Linked DNA regions of Drosophila melanogaster. The protein of the gene in region 1 purifies or fractionates together with the protein of each later gene. This does not show direct contact. Each region holds a gene or a part of one and is shown in the gene's direction. Other genes may lie near its edges.

Evidence for each region. The genes of interacting proteins can lie anywhere in the genome.
Region 2: the proteins of vkg (region 1) and Ndg purify together in Drosophila melanogaster (affinity purification with western blotting, with the first as the bait; one study listed by BioGRID). This does not show direct contact.

The regions. Positions count from the first base shown.
Region 1 is NT_033779.5:5,023,207-5,031,049, reverse strand, and holds the start of vkg (viking), read left to right. Parts: upstream 1-2,858; 5' UTR 2,859-2,931; intron 2,932-3,604; exon of another isoform or gene 3,605-3,752; intron 3,753-3,828; 5' UTR 3,829-3,920; coding exon 3,921-4,013; intron 4,014-7,843. Other genes in the region: Col4a1 (collagen type IV alpha 1), read right to left, coding at 1-195, 260-308, 813-832.
Region 2 is NT_033778.4:10,312,231-10,318,538, forward strand, and holds the start of Ndg (nidogen), read left to right. Parts: upstream 1-1,660; 5' UTR 1,661-2,043; coding exon 2,044-2,274; intron 2,275-4,170; coding exon 4,171-4,650; intron 4,651-4,745; coding exon 4,746-5,507; intron 5,508-5,613; coding exon 5,614-6,237; intron 6,238-6,308. UniProt on the Drosophila melanogaster protein: Cell adhesion glycoprotein which is widely distributed in basement membranes. Involved in cell-extracellular matrix (ECM) interactions probably by connecting the laminin and collagen IV networks.

The DNA.
Region 1 (7,843 bases):
CTTCTCCGCTATGCACTTGGGCACACAGCCCGCATATCCGGCCGTACAATTCTTGGGCGGCAGATCGCCGCGCGCCACGCCGGCAGAGTCTACAATGTCGTAACTGTCGTCGATTGGGAACTTGGGTTCATTTCGATTGTAGTGTTTCACGGAGTCCTGAATCGAACCGGCCGTACCAGCCGTCTTCCAAAATTGCTGCGGGGAAAAGGAGTATATTATTCAATGTCCAGATGGATGGCATGGGCTACGGTTATCTTACAGCGTCGGCACCGACTAACGCTCCCGCGATCACAGCGGCGTATAGCAGCCTGCAAAGAAGTCGACGAAGATCAGGAGGGTTAGGAACTGTGCTTCGTCTTATCAGTCTAGCTATTTAATTGGACATAGCTCTCTTCGATTGGCAGCTCTCTCTTAAGCCGTCAATTCAAGAGAGTTTGCTAAAGGCGCTTAAGAGAGAGCTTACAAGTTTTTAAGAGATCGCGCTTCGAAAAATTAAAAAAAAATTGAACAAATGTGATGTTTTAAATTATGTATTTTTGTATTGCTGATATCTAAAATATTAATTTAAAAACTAATATTTGCTCTTTCTGAATGGATTAGAAAGAAAAAAATTGGCAATACTTTTTTAGGCCATAACTGGGTTTTAATCATTAAAAATTTCAAAAAAATTTTAAATTTTTAAATAGAGTATTATTAGTTGTTAAGTAAGTATTATTGTCATGGTTTTTAATAATTAACAATTGCTTTCTTTGATTAACTTAAATTTTTGCAACCATTTGTATTATTTTTCTAACTTTTGTCATTTTTCTTACCGCTTCCAGAAGGGCAACATGATGCCCTATGCACTTAAGCCTGCACAATTATTTGCTCTGTCCTCGTCGAATTTGAAGTTTATATGTTGCCGTCGCTGGGCCTGGAAAGATGAGCCAGAGAATTGGGCACTTTAATTTCGCAACAGTTGCAAAATAAATTGGAAATATTCTTAGAGGAATATTATTTTATTTAATATTTGTGGGAAAATCGAGCTGGCTTATTTTTTTTCAACGATTTAATTCTTGTATTTCGTTTCATTTCATTTCCAAGCATATACACGCGACAGTTTGAGAGGCACTGGAACTGGTACGAGACTCGCACAACGACTTGCTGGATATTTTCAATTAATAGTACGCGTTCTTCCTGATTTAATTAAGATATTTTATGTTTATATTATTTTGTTGTTGTAAAAGCTCAGTTCCTTACAGGAATCAAATCCTATTTAAGGGACGGTTGGACGGGACGGGACGGGACCCTAATGGAAACACACATTCACAACCGAGCGATCCGATCCGAACCGATCACCACTCCACAGCGCTGACTAAAGACTAAAACCAGCTGGCCAGATCAGCTCCGGACCGAGACCAGACTACTACTTACTCGGGGAGACGGAACACGACTAATTATAGTATAAGTTCGAGCGATCCAAAAGCCAAACGCCGATGCCCCGATCTTCACTCGTCGATCGTTCGGCTTGGCACGATCTCGACGATCGGGTCTACGGCTCATGTACACTATCCGTGTGATTCGACGGGGATTGGATGGGCATCGGATCGGTTGCGATGGCTGCGAGGTGGCTGGTGGGAGGTGGGTGGTGGCACCATGGCATATAGAACGGATGGGCGACGGGTCGTCGTATGTAGCAACACTAATCCCACAAGTTAACATAGTCGCTGCGGAATGAATGAAACTTGGCGATAAGTCCGTCGCTGCTGTTGATATGCCACATGCGACTTAAGTTGCTCAATAGCACATCAGCTTCGTTCCGCCGGAGCACCTCCCCGGGAGCACCTTCAACCAGCTCTCCGGCTCCCAGATCCCAGCTTCCAGATCGCAGCTACCAGCTCCCATCTCAAAATTAGCTGATAGCCCCCGCCCTGAGATCGGGCACATGGCTTCCGTTTTGGTCCGCCCCTGCGGCTCCTGCTTTTTGGACTTTTTTCGGTGCTCGGGCAAGGGAAATTCCGAAGGCTTCGCTATCAGGCCAATGTTCTAATTATAACCTCATCAAAATTTTGTGTGTACTTACAATAAGTATGATAAAAATATCTAAAACTTAAAGGATAACAAAAACATGTGTAAACATTTTATTGGCATATACTTTACTTTTAATAGGATTATAGTCCTTTTCTAAGTTTTAAAAATATTCTCTAGCTTTCAAAACTGATATAATTAATTTGACAAAGGTTTTGAAGATTAAATCTCTTTTTAAGCTTTACTTGGTATATTTTTATTTGCTATATATAACTGATTATTCAAATCATTCCATTCTTTTCTAAAACAAAATATTTTAGTTTGATTGATTTTAGTATGTCGATGCAATTATTGTTTCAAAGAATGGTCTTTTTTCGATTTTTTTTGTATCTATCTACGCTTTATTAAAACTAAATGTATCTTAAATGAAATTTCATTTTAAGTGCCAAGTTTTATACATACTTAAAATAATTATTGTTATTTAATTAATAATAATTATTGAGATCCATTCATTTTGATAGTAAGTACGACATAATACTTACTAATACCGCTCTAAACATAAATTAATAAGATTTTAAGTTGCCGAAGTGCGACATCATTTAATATCCTAATCACAGCAGTTTCCTGAGAAGACATATATTCAGGCCACTGGGCCATATCCGACTTGCACGTACCCTAGAACAAAAGAGCTTTCCCAACTAGAACGAGGCCTTGATTATAGCCGCCCTATCAAGACTTATTTCAAAACACTGTGGCCCCGAAACCCAAAATCAGGCTCGAATTTCGAAAGGTTCCCATTTGGCTTTTCTGCGTCGGACTTATTGGAGCTTAAAACTCATGTTCGGTTTTCAGTTGATCAGTAGTTCGTTCTAACAGGAAATACTCAGCCATATCCGTCTTATCAGCCTCACATATGCCATATATGTAAGTACTAAATGAAAAAGCCTTAACCTAATCACGAGAAGCGCGACAAACAAACTAGCATCTAATTGTATTGAAATCACTAGGATAGCTGGGATTGAGTATTAGAATAGCTTTTACCCCGCAAGAAATATCGTGTGTCGCTAGTTGGAACTATCATTTAAGTTATATGCGGATGGTTATTATGTATAAATGGTATGTGCCTGTTAGTAATAGTTAGTAATAGTAACATTAATTAATAAATTATTTAATAATTTGTATTTTCCCAAGAGACGTGCCTAATAAAAAGAACAAAGTGAGAATCTGATTGATCATACCCCTTCAGGGATACGGTACCAAAATGGGAAATAGAATTTGTATGCTTAGAATCGGGCCGCTTTGATTTGGTTAGAGGGCTCTGCTCCTCATTTCCTCGTTTCAAGGCGTCAAAGTGCTAAATTCCGAACCATAACCAGAGCCCGGAGTCACATCTACATCCAAACCTCCATCCAAATCTCCATCCAAAACATCCATCCGGGCCTGTCCCTGGCCTGTGCCTACTACACTCACACTGCTGCAACTTCCACTTGCGATAGTATTGGTGGGCCGAGAGCCGATCGCGAACGGCCGAACTTTTACGAGTGGAGCCGAGCGTGCCGAGTGTGCGGGCGAAGAATTCGAATTTCTTTAGCGGGACTCGTGTTTAGTAATACTTCGAACGCTAGACGATCTCCACATGTGGGGAGAGTGCTGTGCCCGACGATCGCAGCAGCAGCAAATCAGCGTTTTCTGTTAGTTTCCCACACTTTTCCGATCGTCAACTCTTTAATACTTGATTTGCTAATGTCGGTTTTATTTGAGGGCATTTTATAAGAATCGAAAATTCTTCAATTTCTAATTTTATGCTTATTTCGTTGGCAGTTTCGTGTGTGTTTTAAGCGGGGAGAGACAGAGGCAATTAGATAGAGTGCGACATAAATACGTTGCGGATAGGACCAAAGGACCCAGCGAGGATGTTACCCAGAGATCTAAGGCATCTCTCGGGTCTTCTGGGCGTCGTTTATCTGTTGGGCAGCCTGGTTTCCGTTACCTTGGCGGATGGAAAGGTAAGTGCAATCGAAATGCTTAGTATAATATCCAAAAATTGACAGCTCTTTAAAGACTTGGATTGAGAAATGTATAGATTGTAGTGCAATAACTTTTTTCAACTTTTTTTTATGTCTTAAAACAACTTAGGAAATGATATTTAAAATAAGGCTCTTACTATTTAAAGTGCTTCTCAGACCATAACCGTTTGAATTTTATGAGATTGCTAAATACTAACCAAAGTGCTTGTCAAACTGTATATGCCTATTTCATTAACGCAGCATTTTTAAGTTACTTGAAGCTTATAACAATAATATTCTTAATTAACTTTGAAAGAAAATTATCATGTCCACCAATGCTCTCCAAACTGTATCCGTAGTCATTGATTTCGCATTTACATAGTATCAACCATAAACAACTATGTAAAATTGGGTCAGCTCGGAGCTCGACTCTTAATCACCGCTGCTATTGTTATTGTTATTCTGCAGCACTGCACTCTCTGATTTATTCACACTTCCGGCATGAAAACATCGCGTAGTTGCAACTCTTTGGCTTCGACAGATAATTCCTTTCAGCTCGTTCCCGATTCCGGGGGTTCAATGAAGTCCAAGTCCAGCTTGGGATCGATTATGTCATTAAATAATTTTGGCAACATAATTTTGTAGGTGAAGAGGTTGGCGATAACGCCCATTGATAACCCCCCTAATCTTTCAATTTGGAGGACATTGCTTTTTTGGCATACCAATTGTGGTTCGCCATTGAACGTTTCCGGCTGGCAATTAGAATTATATTTAATAACCGCCAGATTAGTCGCTTAATTGGCATATAATCATTTGTAAAATGAAACGGGAATGAGTATGAAAAACAAAGAATGCGCAGGTTCTTAGTTATTACCCCAATTGAATAGATTATTATTCAAAATAAGACACATTAACCATTGAGGTTGCGAATATTTCATTTATTTATGAATGATTTTTTAAGCAAACACAAAAATGATTTGACACAAAAGTGCGAGGCAAACGCAATACTCAATGTTGCCCCAAAAACTATGCACTACTTTTTAACACCGAGTTGCCCAATTCAGTGTACCTTGTGTATGTACCAAATTAAATTGAGTATTAATATTTAAATGGCTAGGGATCACAGAGATTTCGTAATGCTGGATGAAAAATGGAGCACATGCCGGCGGCACCTACTTTTTGATGGCATTCGGCTGGTCTTATCAGGCTGCGACTGATCTACACACATTTAATTAGACCTATTGCTATGTTGGCGGCATTGACGCCATTGATAGCATGTTCCGCTGATTGCGACATGGCTTTCTAGACTCGAATTTAGAATAAATACACTTTAGAATTGAAACAAGTGTCGCCAGCAGTCGCAGAGGCTATCGGCTTGGCTTGACTTTATTGCCTTTACCAGAGATCAGAGTTTAGTTTTCATACCAGTTGAGCAGTTAACTCAATGCACAATTCGTGCACTCAATTCGTTGGGATCTGGAAATCTGGCCCCATCGCTCACGTGTTTGCCATCATAAGTGTGCAGCTCGTCTGACGACTTTGGTAATCCGATCCACAGCTCTTTTCGCACTCGGTTACGTGGTCAATGCCATGGGCTTGGGACCCTAACTCCCGGATTCCGAGTGAGAGCTGCCAGGTCTCCAGGTCTTGTGGGTTGCCAATGGAGGACTAACCGCAAAACGATGAAAAACTTGACTTCGCTTAGCTACCGTTGCTCGTGTTACCCTCACGATAAGCGAAGGCTTACAAAAAAAGTTGTTTCACTTGCAACAGTATTTGAAAACGATATAATTAATTATATCCTGGGTGCATTAAGCTAATCTGAATAGAAGGGGATTCACATTTTTCGCTGGAATTAGTTTTGATTAGAAACACACATTGTATGTATGCCATTATTTACAATCTATAAAGAAATTTATAAAGGGAATTATCTGCTATGAGTAAGATATATTCATACTTAATGTTTTTAAGGGTATTTATTCCAGCATCATTTGAATATACTTATTAAACAGTTAACAGCTCTCAGGCAATGGCTCTAAAACTGTTCTCGCAATGGGTTTTGCAACCAGTTTGGCGCTTCATTAGCCGAACAAATGATTTCCTTTTCCGTTCCGCGAAAAGAGAGCCGATCGCTTAAGAGCCGCTTCAATCGAAGAGCAGAAGAGACAGAGAGAGATGAACTCATCGATTGCAGATGCAGCTGAGGCTTTCAATGAATGAATTTTGATAAATGGTCTTTATCAGTCGCTCTCCCCACTTTACCACTGCACCACTACCCCATGCACCCTTTCTCTTTTCTCCTGCACTTGCCCAGCTATAAATACATATATGGAAATGCCGTTATTGCCTGTGAATAAGTGTGCTCTTTCGCCAGTGCGCTTGTGTGTGTGTGCGCAGTTCGATTCCGACAATTAGCAGCAGCTCAAGTGATCGGTGAGGGGCTCTCTTGGAGAATCACTGGAATTGAAATGAAGAAGGGTTGCCGGGGTATGGCGACTTCAGGGGGTGAGGGGGTCGGCAATCTTTTGACGTTCTGCACCATTTCAAATTGGAATTGAAAGTTCTTGGCTGTTTGTTGTTTTGTTGCTTCTGCGGCGGCTGCTGCTGCCGTCCAAAGTCTTAGAAACTTCGATGGTGCACTTAGAAAAATCTTAACTACATACAAAACAATATCAAATAAATACATAATCTAAAACCTTCGAAATTTACCATGAATTCCGAAATTTTCTTATAAAAAGCTTGTAAAAATATTGTATTATATTGAATTGGTTATTTAAGAAGAGGAGTAATTTCTATCAAATTATAAAATTATGATCTAGCGGGTTTGATTATTGCCACTCAACCATTTCTTTCCGTGCACCTTCCCTTTCAGTCTTCAGTTTCGTTCTCCTTGGGTTTTGTTTATTCCCGATCCTGGTCCAAAGTGACCCGATGCTGCTGGCATAAATCACTGACCACCGCCGGCCAGACTGAGCGGGGCCAACTGGTGATGGGTGTCCAGCTGGTGGAGGGGATTTCGATCCAACTGAAGACCGCCCAAGAAAACGAAGAGCGGGGGCAGCAGCTCGGAGCTCGGACAACAATGATCATCATCTCATTGTTGGACTCCTTGTGGAAGTTTATTTGCGTGCTTGAGCTGAATTGTTTGGCGAGTTGCATTTCAATTTGACTCAATTATTTATTTATCTGCAACTGAATGCGGAAATTATGCGGAGTCTCGCTCTCTATATGTACGTGTATGTGTGTGTGTGTGTGTGTGTGCGATATGGACAACATGTCGTATGAGTGATATGGGCAGGGGCCACTTAGTAGCCGCCTTTGTAATGAATTTCGTGAATTGAAACGATTATTTATGAGCGAAGCTAGTGAAATTGGGTTATCAGTCATCTGTCTCATAACTGCAGCTCGCTCTTCTCCTTTTTTTTTTGCCGCCTTATCAGTCCGTACGGGCTCATGAAATTGATATTCATCTGAGCATTTGAAATTCTATACATATATACATATATTTAGACACTATATGGCATGTACATATGCATATGTGTACAATGTATGATGCGATTCCATTGCTGAGATTCCATTTCAGACGGCAGACATCTACTGTCATGGCTAAAAATAAATTCTGCTTAATTTGCTTGGTTAACTTTCTAGTGCTTTGATTGTCTGAATTATTTGCAGGCCATTGAGATGGTTAACCAATGGCTTCATGATTTCAAGCGATTTATAACTGGGTGAAATCTAACTGGCAGCTCCTTTGATGCAAAATTCGAACGATAATGGTTGCTGGCATGATGTGACTTATGATTTTAAGTGCATTTTCAAAAGGTAACAAT
Region 2 (6,308 bases), on another chromosome or scaffold:
AGTTCCTGGAACGCACTGCAGATGAAAAGGCGCAGGCATCCATCACCGATCAAGCGGCGCAATATCCAAATATAGCAAAAAATTACCCGGGCCCTGGGCCACGCACTTTCCATTGGTCTTCTGGTCGGGCGAAGATGACTGGTATGATGTCTAGCAAATGCATGCGGAAGCATTCCCGATCCCAATTCCATTCCCACACCCATTCCGCTGCATTCAGCTGCAACTAATTAACCGAGAAATACATCATAAATAGTCCAACTGACGGACCCCCATCCCCCGTCATTGGTTCCAGTTGTATCTTGGGTTCCAGCTCCTCCTGCTCCTACTCCTCCACCTCCTCCTCGCCCGCACCCGATCCTCATCAGTCAGGGAGCAGACGTTGCGTCGCTGCCTCAGAAGTTTACCATTTGTTTATTTTCGACTCGCACACACACCCCGCCAAGGAATGGGAGTGCTCTGGATTAGTGATGTTAGATCTTAAGAACTAGCTTTTTATTTAAATGTTAACATTTTAATATTGATTCCGAATGAATGTAATGTAAAAATGAAATGAGTCTTAATATTATTTAGAAAGGTTGCTAGCACCAATTTATTCCTTACCTTTTCATTTTTACATTATTTAAAATTAAGACGAATTGCTTGAGCCAAAACTAAATTAACAAATAACTATGCACGATTTTAATTCATATGCCAGGTTTCACTGAGTTTAAAACCATTTTAAAGAAAAAACTCTAACTCAGCTGTTTTGGCGCCACTGCTCAAATGTCTTGGAGTGCGCATCACCCTCTGAGGATTGGGTGTGGATATGCGTGTGGACTCGGTGTGACTGTTGAGAAGGTATCCATACGCTTCGCCCTTTCCACGCGCCGCTTCACGGTGGCATGCGCTGCGGGAATTTTGGGGGGCAAGAGCAATCAAGCGGCACGTGCCCGCTTCAAGTTCAGTTCCCTGGAATTGGGACTCCCGAAACTATCTAGTAGCACCAATGTGTTACGGAAGCCCGGCCCAGAAGTCTCCCTTGGGAGAACTAATTTCTATATCCACGGTGACCATATGGTTATATGTTTTATAATATATCGTCCGGAGAATCTGTAAATCTCACTAAACACTACCTTTTTAGAACACGAAATACGTGGTAAGACCAAAGACACTAGAATTCTAGGGTCTTTGGTAAGACTAAGTTAACAAAAGTAAGACTAACATCTATGAAGTCGTTCAATAGTTGGTATGCTATGGGCGTTATATTTTAAACCTTTACTCTTACATATGATGGAGTCTATTAAAATGATAAAATGCTGATTCTGAATATCACCAAATAAATGAGCAATCCCATACTGACAATATTCCGTTGTTAACTGATTATTTTATTTGGCCATAATTACGTACTCCTTCAAAGCGAGAGCCCATGCCAACGACGACTGTTGATGGTAAACATCAATAAAGAATTGTCATAATCGAACAGCATCTGGTTTGGAGTGCAGCCAGTGTGTGGATCCTATTCGGTATGGTATCTGGGGCCTCCAGAGAAACTCTCGCTTTCCGCCACTCACCCACACACACGTGCACAAACTAAACGGCACTCCGGCCAGCAGCTCACACAGATACTCGATGGTAACGGACGGATGAGCACCGAGTCGAGGAGAATCCACCGCGGAGACGACGGCCAATCAGTCGAGAATCTGTTGGCAAACCGTGCAGTTCGTTCGGGTTTCCTTGCTCGCGTGCTTAGGAAGCAGAAACCAAAAGTAAAGCAGAAAGCAGAAGCAAAAGCAGAGGAGCTGGGCCGCCACTTGGAGCGACAGTTCCAAAATTCTGTCAAACTATACACACGCCATAAACCTCTATATATACTCGACGAATAGATAGTGCCACAATTTATTTATAAATCGCCTATATTTTTGGATCAAACTTGAGTGCCTTAGGAATTCGGTTTTGTGTCTAGTGTGAAAATGCCAGTGGCGAAATTGTGAAATCCCCGCGTGTCAAAGTCAAAGAAGTAGAGAGATACACAAGTCAGGAAGGACCCATCCATATCCCGCCACAATGCCGACCTTCGGCAGTAAGTTGCTCGCCTGCCTGCTGCTCAGCTCGGTGATCCTGGTCAGCGGACAGTTCGAGCACTATCTGGACAGCCTGCGCGCCTCGGAATTGTACGAGTTCGAGGATGGCTCCCTGGGCAGCATACACCTCTTGCCCAAGGGCGACAGCGAAACGATCGTGCTGCAACTGGAGCAGCCCATTCACTTCTACGGGGAGCAGTACGAGCAGCTCTATGTGAGTACCCCTAGCACGCATACCCCCCTCAGTAGATGCAGAATTATGTGAGACTACAAAGTATCTCAAATATTGTGCACTGAATGAATTTTTGCAGCGTGCAGGGTGACGAGGTGATAAGCACGCGTTGATAAGGGGCAATCTATATGCAAACACAACGCGGTTCAATAGTTTCTAGACTACCATGCATCTATTTCTGGGGGAGCCTGCTTTGTTGTGGTGCCCGCGTATTTATAGGCGACATTAATTTTCGGCAAAACATGACAGGTCGCACATCGATTTCCACACACGCACCCCACTCGCACCGTGTCCCAATAATCCTCAAGTGCCACACATCCGCAGCTACAATCCGCAGGCACTTGAGGGTGGTCCAAGACCAAAAACCGAAAACCAAACCCATTGATGTCGCTTTGCCGCCTTGGCCAAGTGCCAGATGCCAGAGCTCCGGGCATCCGAGTGTCTGAGTGGTTTCGGCACTTGGCAGCCAAAGTTATGAGTTCTCCGAATTGAGAGCCTACTGCGAGTGTCGCCTATTTTTGAACGCGCTTTTTTATCTGCTCTGCATTTTGTTAGTTAATTAACTAAATTTATGTGTCTGACGTAGAGAAATAGCACGCGGCACAGAATCAGAACGGCCAAAACGAGCTTTATGGCCATAGAAATCCATAAATTTCGTTGAAAATTCCTTGGCGGAATGCTTGAAATGATCGGAGGAGCCAGTAGCTTGTAGCCAGCCAGCTCCAAAGCGCTTGGGTCGGATTGGTGTCGAAGTCATTACGAAAGGGTATAAATAAACTCGTCAATAGTCCGTCAGTCAGTCGGCAAAATCGTGAGAACAATGCCAGCCTAGATTCCTTTAAGCGAAAAGAATTCAAAATAATGTTGATATAAAAAAATATTGAAAAGATCATTCGAGGATATGAATTTGCATTTCATTACAAATGACATTTGAGGGGAATAATAATCTATTTTATGTTTCGTCGTGTTTATGTTTCATGATATCATTTGTTTCCTAATCTGGACTTGTCGTTTTGTTTGCAAATGCAACACCCACTTTAAGCAAAATAGAAACAATTTTAACAACAATTTAAACATTTTGAATACTTTGCACAATTGAGGTGTGAAATAGAGGCTAAGCAGGAGTGAAGTATTTGATGTTTGCTTACCCAACCTCAATTTAGCACCCATTGTGGCATGTTGGATATCCATGTGGAGTTGGGCATCCATACAAATCACCAGGCAAGCTGCCGGAATTTCCAGACATCCGTGTTTCCCCGTCGCGATGAACGGAATCCGTGGAGCCACCAGAGTGACATGATTTATGCAACGGCCTGTCGGCAACCACAAGAAAGGCATTTCGGAAACACCTGTGCTCCCATTCCGGGTTGTTTATTCAGATTGCCTGTTGCATCGATGGAGTTGCAGCTAATTTTAGGCGGATCGTTAGGCGGATGTCGGCCGAGGACTCAATTAGGAGGCACTGCAGCAGATCACTTAATATGCATCTCGGGCCACATCCTTTCGTCAGATCATTTGCCGCCTCCTTAATGGCTTGTTGTTGTTTTGTTTCCGCCAGGCGAATGGCCATTAGGAGTTAAGTGGCCCGTTAGCACTTCACGGGGCGCACTGATTGCCACGCCATATGGAGGCCAAGTATTTCCACTTCAAACGATCCCAAGTGGAACTTCCTTATTCCCATACACTTAACAAAATGATCCTGATATCTTTCAAATGAAATAAGCAAAACATTTTCAATAACACCTTGAGTACACCAATTGAGTATCGCCTTCGAAACATTTATAAATACCATTTTGGACGAAGACAATTGATCTTTTAAATGTAACTCCCGAATATTCCTTATTTGTGTTACTTATAGTTCTTTCATGTATTCTCTAGATCAACACCAATGGCATCCTCACCTTCAACTCCGAGTTTCCCGAGTACCTGAACCAGCCCTTTCCGCTGGAATATGCTTCGATAGCGGCCTTCTACTCGAACGTGGACACCTCGTTCAGTGATGAGGGCACCTCGATCTCCCTGTTCGAGTCCAAGGAACAAAGTATTCTCGACAGGGCCTCCAGTTTGGTGCGTTACGCCTTTAGCAGCCAGTCTGAATTCGAGGCTCGTCAGGTGATCGTGGCCACGTGGCGCAATGTGGGCTACTTTGACTCCAAGACGGACCGTCTGAACACCTTCCAGGTGGCACTGATTGCCAACGAGCAGAGCACGTTTGTGCAATTCATCTATCCGGATGGCGGTCTTAACTGGTTGCAGGGCGAAACAGCTGGACTTGGTCTCCCCGACATTCGTGCCCAGGCGGGTTTCGTGGCTGAAGATGGACGCTTCTACACCTTGAACGGTTCCGGATCGGAGAATGTAAGTGTAGTATATATATTATAATTAGGTAGCACTAATTATATTCTATGTGACTATGTTTCCTATGTATTTATGTATCCATTTCCACTCTGTAGGCCCGTTTCCTGAGCGAAAGCACCAACCTGGGTGTTCCCGGAGTCTGGCTGTTCGAAGTGGCTCCCATTGAGAACGAGCAGAACGTGAGGTCTCCCGACAATGCCGAGTCCCTCACAGAGTCCCCCGCTTTGGCTCTGAGTTGCCAGGCCCACGCCCATCAGTGCCACGAGAAGGCCGAGTGCCACGACAAAGCCGAAGGATATTGCTGTGTCTGCGGATCTGGATTCTATGGCAATGGAAAGTCCTGCCTGGCTAATGATCAACCTATCCGAGTGACAGGAACACTGACCGGAGAGCTAAACAAGCAGCCAGTCAGCGAGGAAGCCAAGCTGCAGTCGTATGTGGTGACTAGCGAAGGCCGCACCTATACCACCATCAATCCCCTGACTCCCGAACTGGGCGCCCAGCTCCGACTGGTCCTCCCACTGCTGACCACCGTGCCCTGGCTGTTCGCCAAGTCGGTGGGTGGTGTCGCCAATGGATACCAACTAACCGGCGGTGTCTACACCCATGTATCTCGATTGCAATTCGATTCTGGGGAGAATCTTCATGTGAATCAGACCTTCGAGGGCCTCAACTACTGGGACCAGCTATCCGTGAAGATCGAGATCTATGGTGAGGTTCCGGCGGTGGCAGCGGATGCAGTCCTAATCCTACCCGACTACGTGGAGGAGTACACTTTCGAAAGACCTGGAGAACTGAAATCTGTCCAGGTGCTCAATATAAATATTACCGAGGAGCAGCGTGTGTTGGGACTTCAGGTAAGACCAAGTCCTTACTTTCAACGTTCATTTGTTGTGTCCAATAAATAATAACTAAGTAATATGTTAAAATGATATCTAAATGTTAATTTCATGTTTTCTGCAGGTGGAGCAAAGGATTTTGTATCGCAGCTGCCTGCGCGATGACGAGGCAGATCCCAGTGCCACCAAGGTGCTGCAGAAGATCTCCAAGGTGGCACTCGACTATGTGGAGCGTGACCAGGCTCTGCGCATTGGCGCCATGAGCAAGGTGGGCGTGACCCCCGAATCGAATGCCTGCAACGATGGTACCGCCGATTGCGTAGAGAACTCCGTCTGCGTTCCTTACGAGGACACCTACCGGTGCGACTGTTACCACGGTTTCGCTGCCCAGCTGGACGAGCGTGGAGTGGAGGTCTGCCTGGACATAGACGAGTGCGCGACGGGCTCCCACGTTTGCGACGAGAATGCCGTTTGCGACAACACGGAGGGCGGATTCAACTGCTACTGTACCGAGGGATTCGAGGGCAACGGCTACCGTTGTCTGTCCAACAGCACCGCTGACAACATTGAATACCCGCCAGCAGTCGAGGGACAAGCTGAACCCACCTCCGAACCAAGCCCCAATCCCAGCCCGTATCCCGATCAGGGACAGGACCAGGAGCGGGAAAGGGAAGATGATCAGTATCCCCAACCAAATCCATATCCATATCCTGAGGAGCAGATACCCCAACACCCCGACGAGTGCTACGTGAGTAAACTGAAAGCTTGATTGCATTTCATATTTTTCCCAATATTGAAAGTAGAGAAGAGAGACGAATA